Caenorhabditis elegans: one gene and its partners. The protein of the gene in region 2 purifies or fractionates together with the protein of the main gene of each other region. This does not show direct contact. Each region holds a gene or a part of one and is shown on either strand. Other genes may lie near its edges.

Region 1 (4,648 bases), 2.0 Mb from region 2:
TCGTGGGCATACGGTCTTAAAAATATTTTATTTTATTTTTCTTGTTAAGCAGATTTGCATTCCAGTTTAATTTTATATTTTATATCAGATTCTTACATTTTTTGATGGCCAAGAGACTCAACGTTCGCTGAAGAAGCTCGCTTTTTTATTGAAATTCCTGCTGAAGAACCTGAATCAAACTTCCAAATAATCTTCGTAACACATTCAATTGAAAATAAAAATATAAAACTTACTAGGAGATTGTTCAAATCGTACAATAATTGCCTGATCTGACGGGTGTGCATCTATTGAAACTTGATTCATTGAGCTAAACACGGAAAATCAATCGAAAAAACTCAAAAAATATTTCTCTTCATTCTGATTACCTATTATAGCTTACTGAAGAGCCGGGGCGGAGCATTTCTGAATAACTGACAAACGACAGAAATCGATGAGACGGCTCGAGGAGCACTAGTCGTGGGGGATGTCTGTTCGTCTCGCACGCTCTCCTTGGAGACGTTGCACTCGTTGTAATAAGAAATATTGCTTACACGCTTGTACCAGTGTTCTATTTTATTTGTTCGGAAAACTTTAATGAATTAAATCGACAAATGGGGGTTTTAACAATATAAAATTGAGAAACGAAGAGTACGGGATGGACGAATGAATGGAGGAAGGAAAGGAGTGGAGATTGATTGACATCATAAACATTTGTTTTAAATATTTAGACCATTTAGAGAAGTAAAATTTGATACTGTTTTAAGAGATAAGTTTAGCAAAAAAAATTAAAATTTGGAATTTAAAAACGAATAAAATGGGGATTGTTTTGATGAAAAATTGAGCCAGCAATTGGTGAGGAGTCATTAGCTCTAAATGGTCCACAGAGATAAAGAGGAAGGGATGTTGACAACGAAAGCTTGAATTGAGAGGAGATTCGCCGGGACCACAGCATCTTCTCGTGCCAGCCTAGATCATAATGAATCGAATTTAAACTTTTTCGAAACTATGTTTAAAATCAAAATTAATGTACACAACTTTTTGAAGCCGATTTACGAGAGATGGCCGAGGCCTCTTGGGGCGTGAACAACAAAGAAAAGGTTAGGTATTTACAGATGATAGATAAATCGACTGATGATTACTTCTTGGCACCCTTCTTTGGTTGCGCAGCCGGTGCGTTTCGTGGTGGGGTGACTGGTCTATTTGAACCAACTCCTCCAGCACCATATGGATATTTCTTCTTGTCTGCTGGTTTCAAGATCTGAAAAAAATATTCCGAATTGTTTTATTTTAATGTTTGATAGGTAGTTTTAGCGTTTAATAAATCACCTCAGACAAATGCCTCAATTTCACCCCGCTTAGCGGCAATTTCTTCGAAGAACTCGAATAGATAGCCAAAATAGACTCGTCTGATTTAACCATTGCATCATTGGTGAATGCATACGCATTATCAGTATTTAAAATTATATAGATGGTACCGCTATGTTTACCTGGAAAGAGCACATCAGTGTTTCATCGACAGTCATCATCGATCCCGCGTTATCAAACTCTCCACAATAATTAGGAGCGCTGAACAATGTAACCAACTGCCGCTTAGCGAAGAATTCGTAACCGTCTTCCACAACCTGAAAATTTCTCGGTTCGCAACTTTGCAGAAAATCTTAAGTAATACCTGGTGAGCTCTGCAAATCAAATCCAAATCGTGCTTGTGCAGGAATTTGGCAACAACTTCTGGTCCGAAAGTGAAAGAGACGCCTCGGTCGTTTTCTCCCCAGCCAGTGACATCCTGAAAATAAATGGTAATCATTCATTGAATTTTATGTTCACAAACGAACTTTATCAGGATCTGACCACAACAGATCGCACAACAATCCTTGATCTGGTACGTCTGTCGGCCTCATGATACGACGAATTTGCTCCATAGACTGAAGATCTGGAGAAAGTCCTCCGTGACAGCAGAAGATCTTTTCGTCGATGATGGCGGCAACTGGCAGGCAGTTAAAGCAATCGGTGAACGTCTTCCACAGTTTGATGTTGTATCGCCGCTTGCCTAAAAACATGAGATTTGAATAAATCTGTACTAAGATAATCTCAGATCAAACTCTTACACTCGTCATAGAAGCCATAAATTCTGTTGATCGAGGCACACTCGTGGTTTCCTCGGAGCAGGAAGAAATTTTCCGGGTACTTGATTTTATATGCAAGTAGGAGACAGATAGTTTCCAACGATTGTTTCCCTCGGTCCACATAATCGCCGAGGAACAAGTAGTTCGACTCTGGGGGGAATCCACCATACTCGAACAGTCTCAAAAGATCGTAGTATTGTCCGTGCACGTCACCTGAAAAATATATTTTCTCAGAATATATATTATCAAAAATAAAAACGGCAATTTCCTGTGGAAGGAAATACTAATAAGTAAAATGACTCATAGCAGGAAACGTCAACTTTTTTCGATAGAACTTACCGCAAATTTTCAACGGAGCTTCCAACTCGAGAAGAATAGGTTGGCTCAGAAAAATTTCACGAGACTTCTGGCACAACCCCTTGATCTCGCTCTCTGTGAGTTGAACATTTTTCCCTGGTTTGGATCCTCTGACTGAAGCGGAAATCATTTTAAGATTAATTTCAATAAACACTATGACAAACACATACCTTCCAATAATCTGGAGATGATATTGTCCAGATTAAGCTTTTCTACGTCCATTTGTTGCGAGAAATCGCTCAAACAACCCAATTAGATCTGCAATACGAATAGAATTACCTCTTTGAGATAATGTCAATCAACAAACGTGAAAATACGGAAAATTTAGAAAGAAAGTTTGATAATTACGTCTTTAAATCGCGTGATTACTCGAAAAGTTGATAAAAACAGCAGCAAACATGTCAAAAATCGAAAGATATTTGGAGGCGACAGGGTCAAAACGAATGAAAAGAGTGGCGGGTCTCGCCGCGAAAATGCCGCATTCAGCAGGGTACGGTGGCCGGTGGAGCGCTTTTACATGTTCTCATTTTTTCTGAATTTATCCGCTAATTTAATGATTTTGAATCTGTTTTTCTACATTTTTTCTTCTTGTTAAAATTAAAAAAAAGGGGACGTTCAAATTTTCAGAACTTCATTAGTATTGAATTGAAAAAGAGCGCGCGAAAAGGATTAACTTGGTTAGAGGGCTTTGAAAGTTGAATTTTACATTGAGGAAAATATTTCTACCATTATTTAGAAGATAAAGCTTAAAGTTTCTCTTTTCCCTGAAATTTTCACTATTTGTCAAAAACGGGGCACATATAATCGAATGATGCGCCAATTCGTCACTTTGTTTTCGACCAAGATGGCAGAGAAATTGGTTGGTGGTGAGAGATTGAAATGTGTAAATATAACAAATACACTGTTCTTCGTTCACGATTTGTCAGCAATTATGATCAGATGCAAAAACATGGGGAACAAGATGCATTAAATCTTATTAAGTGAAAGTTTAATAGATGAAAACGTAGTTATAAGAAGTTTATTTAGCATATTTTGATAAAACTTTTACTTATGAATCATTTTGAAATATGAGATTATTATAGTACTCAAAAGTTATATATTATTTAGCTAGAAATATATGAACACTTTGGTACTTCTGCATCCATGAATTCGTTCAGAAAATATATTGAAGCATTAGTTAGAAAATGAGCAGTGAGCATTTAAAAAAATCGATTGATGTCTAGTCAAGTTCAATAAGAAATAAGAAAAAAGAAAAATAGTTGGAGTGAGAAAAATCAGCAAAAAAGATGCGAGAAGTGTGGTGCTCATGGAAGCCTTCTTCTCCATCCTCCTCACAACTCCCTCCATTTCTCTGCGTCGCCTGTTCCCTCTAGTCCCTCGTGACCAACTGCAGTTTCTGTCGTTTTCTCCCCATGTCATGTCTAGCACACGTGAGAAGTGAAAAGAGAGAAAGAGAAGGGCATGATTTCGATTCTTCTGCCGCTTTTCTGTCACTGGTAACAATGCACCTTTGTCGGATCAGACACTCATAGATCGTTGATCTACCTGAAAGTTTGAGAAAAACAAAATCTCTGTTGTTTTATCTTCTCACATCTTCCTATTGATTATTTTTTCTCTTTTTTTTGTTGTCCTCTCTTCTCATTCGTTCTATCCTATCTGTTCCTGTTTGTGTTCTGTTCTTCACCACATTTTCTGAACAAATCGATAATCTGCACAGTTCGAAGAAGATGCCGCCAAACGCGAACTCTGTTGGGGGCCCGAAAAAGAAGAACAAGAAGAATCATCAACGCCCTCAACAGCAACATCAACAAACACAGCCACAACCGCTACCAGAAGAGGAACAGCCGGTAAAGTGTTACTTCATAATGATTTTTCAAAACTAAAAGTTAAAAAAATCGAATTTCAAAAAATCTCCTTTAAAAAACCGTTTAACGGATTTTTCCGTTTTCTAAAGCGCTGCAAACATCGAAACTATGCAATTATTTTCAAAGATAGATAAAATCTTAATAGATTCGGAACGCTAACGAATGTTTTTCTTATAGTACTACCCAGACGCGAAAATTCGTGCCAAAAAACGGTACTGGGTCTGGACACGACAAGTTTTTGTTGAATGTGAGCCTTTAAATAGTACTGTAATTCCAAACTTTCGATGTGTGGAGTTTACATAAATTTTTTATAGTTTTTCTTAC
Region 2 (4,777 bases):
ATCAGAGATCAAAGAACATGATTATTATTATGATTGCTTTTTGTTCGGTTTTCCGAAAAAAAGAGAGAGAGAAAGAGGACAGGCGGCAAACCAAACAAGTTTACGTACAGTCCTGACTGTGTCAATACTCTTGGCTGGCGTCTCCCCTTGTGATGTCACTCACAAGTCAGTTGACCCTTCCGGAGTGTGTGGGGGATCTCTATCAGATTCTTCTGAGCTTTCTCTCGTTTTGTCAATTTTTTTCAGCTGCCTGCTGGCTTCGACGAAAAATGTTCTTCCCCCTATGGCCTTGCTTCTTTTTTCGCTTGAACGCTCTCTCAGAGAGCCCCACAGGCTGAGGAGAGGCGCCAATTGCATTATTGGCTCTTCGTTGGCTCTAGCCGCCTTAGACGGAGAATAAAATGCGGCCACCCAAGAGTTTTTTGGACTCGTTACTCTTCTTCCAACTTGTTTTCACTCATTCTATTCTTCCATTTGTCAAAAAAACATTTGTGCGTGAAGAATGTTTTCTTTAAGGTGACCTACCACTTTCGAGGCTCTAAATAGTCATATTATTAGTTAGAATATGACTGAAAATACGAAAAATTAGATTAAAAACACTTTGGTAGCCAATATATGGGCGGAGTCTCTTTTTGGAATTTTCTTGCCGTCGTGCCATTTCATTTCAAATTTGATTTTGATGTTTTTGAAATCTCAAACTGAAATTGCTAGTTCTAGGCTGCAATTATCTGAAATTACTCAATATATTTTGCTGAGCTTGAAAGTTTTGATAAATAATTGCTCCCAACCCACCCACTCACTATAATTGTTACTTTATATTTAAAAATTAGTTTAAATATTAAACTTATTGATGTCCTTTCTTGGACTCAATTTTTCTGAAGTGTCAGTTCTTCGCACCCTTATTTCTTTTTTTTTTCTTCAGAAATGTACTAGTACGTGCTTTAGAAATTTATAAAAGTAATCATTTACATAACTTTCAAATATTTTTTTGATGAATAAAATTAATTTTTAAGAACTTTAGTTCAAAAAATCATTAAAATGGTGTAATATTTCGACGAACCAGGCACTAGAAATTATTATTTTCTCTAAGACCTAGACTTACTTTTTTGCAGATTTAGAACATTTTGACCTGATTTTTTAATTTTGACCGAGAGAAAAATATTTTTTTAAAAATATATATGGTAGGGCTTCGATTTCTCTTTTTCATGCCACATTCAACATTTTTCAAATTATTTTTTTCTATTTTCGACATCATCTTTCGGTTTTTAACCAACCGGATAATATATCAAAAGCTGACCAAAAAGATAATTACGTTGTTGATCACCAACTACTGATCACTGAGGGAATATAAAATATATGAAAATACATAATTTGGTGATTCAATCATTCGAAGTTCTGATCATTTAGTGAAAAAAAGGTTTCTTTCGCAAATATTCGAGAGCTCAATGCTAAAAAAAAAGACGAAAAGTATGCAAAGTCATTAATCATGTAGGATCTACTAGCTTCTCTTGACTCTTTTCTCTGCAACAATCACATCTTTGTTCCGCGCAAAAAAGGCGAGTAGCCAGTTTTTTCGTTTCTAATTAATTTCCTTTTAGATTACAGCTCGCATGCTTTTACTTTTTCACCACGCTGTGTCTCTAGCTATTTCAGTCGTGTTTACGGGAATATATATGGAAAAGAATTATTGATGTATTTTAGATTATCCAATAGTTTAAGTGATGAGGAAAAAATAATCTACAAAGATAAATTAGCAAAAAAACATTTTATGTTTGATTTCGAAAATATTTGAAAAAAACATTCTTAAGTTTTTGAGAAACTTTAAAAACTTTTTATGACAAGTACCTCTAAATAGTAATTTGATAACTAACGTTTCAAAACGATTTCTTTTTGCTTTGCTTTTTTTACCTATTCACTTTTTCGAACCTAGTTAAAAAATAAATTCTCCATCTATTTTCAGAAAATGGCATCACCCTCCGCTTCTGCAGACGACGTCAAACTGACAGCCGATGGAAAGATTTGTCTTGATGATCCAGCCGAGTTTCTGAAAAGAAAGCCAAAGAAGAGTATTCTTAAGATGAAACAAGACTCATCGCTTGAGGGCAAAGATGGTCGTGCACATTTTGATGAAATGAATATTCTTGCCACTTATCATCCAACTGACAAGGATTATGGAAGCATGAAGGTTATTTTTTTTAGCATGTGCTTTCTTTTGTGGCTGCAAAAAATATTTCCTTCTTCCTCAAGAGGGACCCTTAAAAAAACAATTTGGATGAAATATGGGAATTTTTTGGGAAAAAAACGTCCTCGAAAAGTTTTTCAACTAAAAAATTGAAACAAAAAAAATGAAATTGGGAAAAATAACTTTGTTTTTTTACATCTAAACAAAATTTCCTTCAGAAAACTACCTTTTTATTAGTTTTTTAAACAAAAAACCGAACTTTTTTCATTGAAAAGGACTTTGAATAATAATGAACAAATATTGTTAAAAAACACCTCAAAACTGAAAATTATCGAAAATATATGATTTAAAAAACGTCTAATTTTTTTTTGTTGAAAATATAGTTAATTTTATTACAGCTTTTTTCCCAAAAAAAAGTTAATTCAAATGCGAATTCACACTAAAAAGTAATTATAGAATAAGCGAAATAAAAAGTTATTAAAAATTCAAGAGTTTTTAGAAAGTTACAATGAAAAATTATGAAAGGATTTTCCGACAGTCAATCATTTTGATTTTTTTTCTAGAATTATTAGCTTTTAACGTATTTTTCCCATGAACGTTTGTTTTAATTATTTGACTTTAAATTGTTTCAACATATTCAGATTGCTATTAAATTTTATTTTGCCATTTTCAAAAACTTTGAATTTTGCAGATTGATGAACCAAAGACCCCATATCATCATTCAGATGGTGAAAGTGAATGTGATGAAGGAGTACTTGGAGTACCAACAACTCGACCACGACGAGTATCACTCGGAAATGCCATTGACCCAGAAAAAGTGGCCGAAGGACTTGCTCATCCGGAGGTTTTAGAGCTCTTTATGTGTTCTCTCATTTATTTTTCATTTATTTTTCCAGAGTGGAAAATCACTTTCTTCCGCTGAAGATTCCGAGGACGAGGCTGATTTGACAGAGGAACAACGTGGTACGGAATTGAAAATTGAAGAAAAATACATTTTAGTTGAAATATTAAAAAAAAGTATATTAAAAATCAAAATTTATAAGAAATTCACAAAAATATTCTAAAAATTGTAAATTAAAAATCCTTTTAAAAACCGATTTTTATTATTTAAAGAAATTGTCTAGTAATTTCGAGCAAAAAATTTTGTGAAATTAAAAAAAAACTTATTTGGACAGCTTTTGTCTTCAAAGATTTTTAAAAAATAGTTATTTCTGATTAAAAAAATTATAAAGGAAAAATTCCAGAAAAATCAGTTTAATGATATAATACAGTTGAAAAATTGGTTTTTCTTAGAAATTTTTTTAAAAATTTTGTCAACAAAAAATTTAGAAAAATTGTTGAATTTTTTCAAAAATCTTATTTTTGAGTTTAAAAATGTTTAATTTGGAAACATAATCGAATTCTTTGAAAAAATCTAGATTTTATAAATATAAAAAGGTCAAATCTCAATATTATCATTTTTCAACATAATTTAAATTTTAAAAAATCGTTTTTTTCTCTAAACTGATCATAAAAATTGGCTCAGTTTTTTTTTAATCTAAAATCTTCCATTTACTAATGATATTATTTTCAAAATTTTTAAAAAATTATTTATTTTAGGAATGTAATCAATTTTGATGGGTTTCCTAGAAAAAAAACTAGATTCACTGAACATTTTGATATTTGTCATTTCAATTTTTTTTAAATCGAAGCGTACAAAATTTCCATAATTTAAAACACGACTCTTACAGCTCACCGTCGCGATTTCGAGAAGAAACGACGTGCTCATTATAACGAGGGAGCTGCTCTGAAGCATCATCCAGAACTCGAAGATGATGAAGAAGAAGCTACTGCTGCTGCTGCTGGTGCCGGTGGAAATATGGAACACTAGCAAATACATTAAATGCCGTGTGCAATCATATATTTTTGTTTTTCCTTTGAATTGCTCTCTTTCTCATTTTTTTCAAAGTTTCCACCAAAAAATCTGAATTCTTGTATAAAATCCTTTTCCCCCGTAAGCGAATTTATTTATTATTTGTTCTCTCAATTTCTCAATTTTCCCTACTATATTTTTCAAGTTTTCGAAATGAATATCGAATGATCCATGAGTTTTCTTACTATTAGATTTTGAAATTTTCAAAAATTGTCTAATTATATTTTGTCAGACGATTCTAATACTGAAAATTTTGAAAACAAAAATGTTTTTTACCCCGCTGCGAAATACTACGATTTGCGCTCTAAAAATACGTTACCCGGTCTCAAAGCGATCGATTTTCTTAAACGCAGAAAAGTGTGCGCCTTTAGTAGTACTGTAGTTTCCAAAAATGTGAAAATATTACACCTAATTTTGAAGAAATAGGAGAAAAGCTAGAAAAAATCGAAGAAAATCCCGCAACAACGAAAAGTTATCAACTACAGTACTCTCTTATGAATTCAGAAAAATCGATCGCTTCGAGATCGCTACATTGTTTTTGAAACAAAAATCGCAGAATATTGCATAATTAATAGTTTTTTTTTTCGAAATTGTTAATTCTATTTCTAATAATATTTGATGTAACACAGTCCAATATTTTCATCATTTTTGAGACACAAAAAGGTCAACATTAATTGTCATCA
Region 3 (6,546 bases), on a different chromosome or scaffold from region 2:
TTAAATTTCTGAAAATAAGGAACTTTCAAAAGAAAATAAAGCGAAAAATTGAAAACATTGTGCAGCAGTCAGAAGTGTAAACTACTGTACTCTTGAAAGACGCACACTGCTTTTCACAGAAATCATTAAAAAATATTACAGTCGTGCCGGGTCCAGGTATCGTATTATTGAGTCGAATGGTTTATAAATAACATTATTTTGGCGACGAAATCCATTCTGAAAACTACCAAATAGAATTTTTAAAAAATAATTGCCCAGTTTAAAGGATTATGTGTTGCAGTTATTTCTGAAATATTAAATTTCCCTGATCTTGATTTAATGTTTCAGAAGTAATTGGTTTCCCTTGGCAGGATTCCTTCTCTTTATTCTTTTTCCATCCAACGAACATTTTATTTCTATTCTTGTACTCATTCCAAACAATGTGATTCATACTTTTTCCATTATTTTTTTGCCTGAAGACAGTATGTGTTTTATAAATACTTTGACCAAACACACACACACAAAATTTGAGTGACTGGTTCTTGCGCAAGAGAAACCTTTTGGAAAAAATATTCATTGGAATCAGTTGGAGGAAAGAAAGAAGGAAATGGGGGCGAGAAAAAGGAACGGGGGGAGCTGTCGAGAAAAATTCACTATTTTCGAATAAAAACCATAGAAAATTATCAGTGTGCGTGTTGTTGGGGCGGATCAGAATTCAATATTCTAAAAAATAAGAACGAATTCGCTCTCGTACTTTCAGAATGTTTGTGTGATTAACATTGTAAGAATAAATAAGCTGCAACTTTAAATCGGAAGGATTTTGATCCCGGTGTGTTAGGCTCACAACTAAGAATAAAACAGGATAAGAGCAAATGGAAAAAGAGAGGCAATCAGAAAAAAAATATATGAGAAAATTTAGCTAAAAATGGAGAACACAGAAGGAGAGAGAGAAAGATTTGCAATCTGTACTCGCCAGAAAAATTAAATTATATTCGATCGAGTACAGTTGCACAAAAATAGAAAATCAGAAAAGAAAATAATAATGAAGAGCATTTAAAACTCGTTTTTGTGCGGGGTGGGGTGTATTGAGGGCGAGAAAATAATAAAATGTTTGAGATAAAAGAGAAGGGAAATTCAAAAAAAACGGACAGAAAAGTAAAAATCCGAGAGAAATGAGTAAAAATGTAGGCAAAAATGTTCTTTCTCCTCATCACTTTACTTCTTACCAGCAGTCGTTCCAGGCCGTCCTCCGCCCACTGCTGGTCGTCCACTGTTCATTCCTTGATACTGATATTTCGCTTTTTTCTCCGATGGTTTCAGAATCTGTAAAATAAATAATGAATCAAATTTTTCTAATTTATTTGAAAAAAAACAATTTCAGTCTTATCCGATCAAAATTAATTCTATAAGCTTTTTGAGTATAAAATTATCTAATAATCACTGATGGTTCAGTTTGGTCATTATTTCCCGATAGGTTCAAGAGGATATTGGAAGAAAAAGAGTTTTGACGTAACATGGGATGCAACTACTTGAGTTAGATTGTTTTTTCGGGAAAAGAACAAATTGTCACTAACTGAACAATTATCAACATTATATATTTAAACATTTTAAATTTTTTCCGAAATGTAGGATTTTAATAAAGAAGTACCGTTTGATGGTACTTTTTCTCTCATATTTTGATATGGAAAAGAAAGAAGATGGAAGGTGAAATACTAATACAGCTCATTTTCGGTTCCTGAGATTTCTAAGATTTACGAAAAATTATTGATTTTTGATACAAATTTCACGAGATTTTGTGAAATATATTCAAAATTAAAGAATTTGATAGTTTTTTTCACGTGAAATACACAGCCACTAGCATTCTAATTTTCTCGATCATTTTAATACGAATTTGTAAATATGCCGGTGCCGTTTTTCTCTAAAAAGGTTCATCTCATGCTAGATTATTTCTTGATGTGATGCGAATGTTCAATGAGTTCCCAGCCAAAATTAAATTTGAAGAGCAGGAACTTTTACATAAATTCGATTTTCAATCTCACGAGGTTTCAATTTTTCGAAATCGGTTCCTCTTGACCAAGGATGCCCGACCCCTAATTTAAAAATCAATTGTAAACACATTTAGAAAATTGGTTTCTGATTTTCCATCTTGTTTGAATTTATTCCATTTCGGGGATCTGGAATATTTGGAAAAAGAATGAAATTGTTGGAACGTGTATTGACCCACGACGTGGCTAAGAAGATCGTATAACGTGAACTCTATGAACTAACTTATTTATTCCTTAGTTTAGTAATGTAATAAACTACTCGTCTTCTCTCCTTGTTCGGCCTTCGAATACATAACAGAAATATTCTTACCTGGAAACTGCACATTAATGTCTCATCAACGCTCATCATTCCACCAGCGTTATCGAATTCTCCACAATAATTTGGAGCAGAGAATAGTGTGACAAGTTGTCGCTTAGCAAAGAACTCATATCCATCTTCGACGACCTGATGAGCTCTGCATATCAGATCCAAATCATGTCTGTTCAAAAACTTTGCAACGACATCAGGTCCAAATGTGAACGAGACTCCTCTATCATTTTCTCCCCATCCGGTAACATCCTTGTCTGGATCAGACCAGAGCAAATCGCACAACAATCCAGTATCAGGAACATCGGTTGGTCGCATCACACGGCGAATTTGTTCCATATTTTGGAGATCTGGGGAGAGTCCTCCGTGACAGCAGAAGATCTTCTCATCAATGAGTGCAGCAATTGGAAGACAGTTGAAGCAATCGGTGAAAGTTTTCCACAATTTGATCGAAAAACGTCTCTTACCTGAAAATTATTTGGTTTAAAGACTTTTCAATAACAATTCCAGCAATTTTTACTTCTAAAAATTATTAAATTAAAATTTGAGGACCTGGTCGTTTTTTTTTGATATTTGATGAAAATTTGAGTATAAGAATCTGAAAAAAAGAGAAATAAGAAAATCTTCAAAATATACTGATTTTTTCAAAGAATTCAGTAGCTATTGTTCTCCAAATTTTTACATTGATTGAAAATTGTAATTATTCTGTTATTTTGAAAAAATAATTGACATAATTTTCCTTTTTTAACTATCGAAATTTGCTGATTGAACTGGACAAATTTTAATAACCCAGAATTTAATGGAATTTTTCGTTGAAATATAAATTAAAATATACACAACCGATGCATGGTTATTAAGAATCTTTTTGTCATCCGGAGAAAGTTTCTACTTGATGTGAACGGGCGTATGAAAATTTAAAAAAAAGCGAATATTTTGTTTTGGAATAATTTGTTATTACGTATCCATGTGCGGGTGAGAAAAATCGCCATATCTTAAGCGCAAAAAGCACCTGCGTCTCTTTTTCTCGCATGCTATCTAACGCCTATGCAAAACGCCTATGGCGAGAGAGCGTGTGGAGAAGAGAGACGCAGGCGTCTCCGCAGTTTTCATCAAATCATGGACACGTAATATCTCAATTAATATTTCGAATTTTCTTTAAAGCAAAAAAAAACCTTACATTCATCGTAGAATCCATAAATACGGTTAATTGAAGCACATTCGTGGTTTCCACGAAGAAGGAAAAAGTTTTCTGGATATTTGACTTTGTATGCGAGCAACAAGCAAATTGTTTCCAAGCTCTGCTTTCCACGATCGACATAATCTCCGAGGAACAAGTAATTGGCCTCTGGTGGGAATCCTCCGTATTCGAATAAACGGAGCAAGTCGTTATATTGTCCATGTATGTCTCCTAAAATTAAATATTTCTCATTCATATTGAACTTTTAGAGAAATTAACATTCTAAATTGTATGCTGCGAAACTTTTCAATGACATTCGGACTTTTTTTCCAATAATCACATACGTTCAGTGATGTTTTTACTAAATAATTGAACTATCTTTGAATTTTTAGACAGAATTTATAAATAATCGAAGACTATTGACCATATTCTCTAGTCGTCTCTTACATTGCAGACACAAAAACGGTTTTTGAATAATAAAAAAACTCACCACAAATCTTGAGAGGTGCTTCGAGTTCCAGAAGAATTGGCTGTGATAGGAAGATCTCACGAGATTTATGACAAAGAGCACGGATCTCCGCCTCCGACATGGTAACTGGCTTTCCTGGACGACATCCGCGAACTGAAAAATAATTTTATTGAAAAATCAAATTAGTCACTTAAAATAAGCTTTAAAGAGAATTAGTAAAATTTTAAATATTAATTAAATTTTTTACGACCGTAAAAATCGGAAAGTGGAAAAATGACAGAAATTATTGAAATAAATAGTTGCCAACCATAATAAATAATGATAATTGCTATATTAAACAAAATTCCTCAAAACCAGAATATTTGGAATTTCTAGTCGGAATTTCAAACAAATAAAATTCAATAAAATTTCTGAACAACTATACAGCTGGTTTAGTTCGAATGTCGATATTAGATCAATTTCTCTATTAACTTTAAAACCCACCTTCAAGAAGTCTGGTGATCAGATTGTCAATGTTTAAATCTCCATCGTTCGACATTGTTTTTGCAGCTGCAATCTCCGCGGCTTCTGTTGGTCACTTTTGATGGATGGCAAGTGATGTATGTTCTTGCAATGTTTTTGGCCGACAACTGATATTGGTTGTGGCTGAAAGATAAAAAATTAGTAACGTTGGCGTGAGAATTTAAAAAAAACTTCAAGGAAAACGTGAGAAAATTGATAAGACTAAGCTTAAAAAGCATCAAAAAACAACAGCAGTAGGATGTGATGCGTATCATTACAATTCCAAGAGGAAAAATGCAAAAATGAGAATTTTATCAAGAAATTGTAATGCGAATATAATATAGTTTTCAAATTTCCTGATTGGATTATATTTTTGAAGAATAAAAACCTTAAAGTGATTTGTTTCAATCGGAAACTCGATGACGTGATGGACACAATATTAAAATGTTTGAGAAAGAAAGAACACATGGTTTTTAACAATCGATATGCAAATTTTGAATTTGAAAAGGCAACAAACGCGTGTCGTGAAAACAAACAAAAAAACTGAATTATGTGAAATTTGTGCTATACTGTTTCTAAACATTGAAAATAGAAAACGAGCAACTGATGCCTTGAAGAAAAAAGTTTGTTGGTGTACTAAGAGAAATTCCTTCGTCCTGTGGTAGCAAAAGACAACAAAAAGAATTGGGGAGCAAACTGAGACCATATTCACTTAAACACCTGCGTCTCTCAAATTCGAAACGTGAATCACCGCTTTATGCACCTTGAGGCAAATCGAAGCTACTCTAATACTCTTTTTTTTTCTGGCCAATTTCAAGTTATACACCTATATAGTTTTATCGGAAAACGGTAACGAGACGACGCCCGTTCCTTCTCTTTGCCGTTATCAACGACCCCGAGGAGGAACATGTCATAAACACGACACCGTCGTCACAGCAGGCGGATAACTTTACAGCACTAGAAAAAGGAAATGGTGAAGATATGATAGAGAGAAAACAGAAGCTTTCAAAGAGAAACATGTGTGGCTGTAGTCAAGCAAAGTAGGTTCATCAATAGTGGAGGAAAATGAGGAGATCGGGATGAAATGCCGCGTATAAAAAGAGGAGCGAAAAGTGACGACGGACTGAGACGCATGTGTATGTGCCTGTCCCTATGTGTGAGTGTACGAGTGGAGCGAGAGACGAACGCGCGCCGATCCACCGGCCACTGCCCGCAGTATTGATCGATAACTCGCCACCGTCGTTTCCATTCTTTCGCCGAAACAATTCGCAATGTTATTGCACTACCTCCGGTGGCACGTGCGATATTGGTTCGACACTACTGACATCGTGTAAGACGTCATGGAATCAAAAACGGCGACAACTTCCGAGAAGGTTTTCTTATCACACTTTGCGCATAGTCTGTTATCTTTTGAAAAGGGTAACGCTTATTCTTGTGAGAAAAAACAACAATAAAAAACGGCTAGAGAAGCTTGAGGTGCTCTTTCTTTCTCTTCTCTAGAACAAATGGGCAAAACGAGATGTACAAGTATTTGATTTGCACGCAGAACGTTTCGAAAAGAGGAAACGACGACGAGAAAGAAAAGATTGAGAAAGGCAAACACTTCCTGTGCGGTAAAGATATACGACATTCCAGACTTTTTTCAAACAACACTTAATAAACAATTTTTTATTATTAAGCATAAAATTATGACAAATTGTATGTTTCTGCCAACAAAATGTTACAAAAAGAACTATTTACGAGCCATAAAATTTCGTAATTATTTTTCTTTTCATTGCGCGGTGTAAAACTTTTCGATGACTAATATAATGTTAACAATATAAACTAAATGATAACACATGTTATTCATATTTTAAACCAACTTCTTTTCTATTCAATCGAAATAAATAAATTCTGGAATAAATACCCCAAGAAGTCATTCAAATCACCTTAAGCCTCTATGACATTACGGAAAATAGTTATATCAAACGAAAATTATTTAAAAAAGAATAAAACTACTTGATTTCGTAACATAAACAGTTTCATAAACGAAAAAAGCGATGAAAAACATTCAAAAAATGCAATAGGA

What was found. The genes of interacting proteins can lie anywhere in the genome.
Region 1: the proteins of szy-2 (region 2) and gsp-2 purify together in Caenorhabditis elegans (affinity purification with western blotting, with the first as the bait; one study listed by BioGRID). This does not show direct contact.
Region 3: the proteins of szy-2 (region 2) and gsp-1 purify together in Caenorhabditis elegans (affinity purification with western blotting, with the first as the bait; one study listed by BioGRID). This does not show direct contact.

Annotation. Positions count from the first base shown.
Region 1 is NC_003281.10:7,334,656-7,339,303, reverse strand, and holds gsp-2 (Serine/threonine-protein phosphatase PP1-beta), read right to left. Parts: upstream 2,718-4,648; 5' UTR 2,682-2,717; coding exon 2,630-2,681; intron 2,574-2,629; coding exon 2,442-2,573; intron 2,316-2,441; coding exon 2,085-2,315; intron 2,027-2,084; coding exon 1,812-2,026; intron 1,763-1,811; coding exon 1,649-1,762; intron 1,602-1,648; coding exon 1,467-1,601; intron 1,413-1,466; exon of another isoform or gene 1,302-1,412; intron 1,238-1,301; coding exon 1,115-1,237; 3' UTR 539-1,114; downstream 1-538. Other genes in the region: kap-1 (Kinesin-associated protein), read right to left, coding at 97-169, 234-303; F56C9.10 (BCAS3 WD40 domain-containing protein), read left to right, coding at 4,187-4,306. UniProt on the Caenorhabditis elegans protein: Serine/threonine-protein phosphatase essential for chromosomal dynamics during meiosis and mitosis. During meiosis, promotes chromosomal cohesion and germline immortality via a small RNA-mediated genome silencing pathway.
Region 2 is NC_003281.10:5,368,458-5,373,234, reverse strand, and holds szy-2 (Protein phosphatase inhibitor 2), read left to right. Parts: upstream 1-1,958; 5' UTR 1,959-1,963; coding exon 1,964-2,185; intron 2,186-2,873; coding exon 2,874-3,026; intron 3,027-3,078; coding exon 3,079-3,145; intron 3,146-3,912; coding exon 3,913-4,052; 3' UTR 4,053-4,269; downstream 4,270-4,777.
Region 3 is NC_003283.11:10,680,498-10,687,043, reverse strand, and holds gsp-1 (Serine/threonine-protein phosphatase PP1-alpha), read right to left. Parts: upstream 4,623-6,546; 5' UTR 4,516-4,622; coding exon 4,461-4,515; intron 4,131-4,460; coding exon 3,999-4,130; intron 3,740-3,998; coding exon 3,509-3,739; intron 2,799-3,508; coding exon 2,335-2,798; intron 1,303-2,334; coding exon 1,195-1,302; 3' UTR 539-1,194; downstream 1-538. UniProt on the Caenorhabditis elegans protein: Serine/threonine-protein phosphatase which antagonizes the function of air-2 in the regulation of chromosome cohesion. Dephosphorylates histone H3 at 'Ser-10'. Dephosphorylates translation initiation factor eIF2alpha.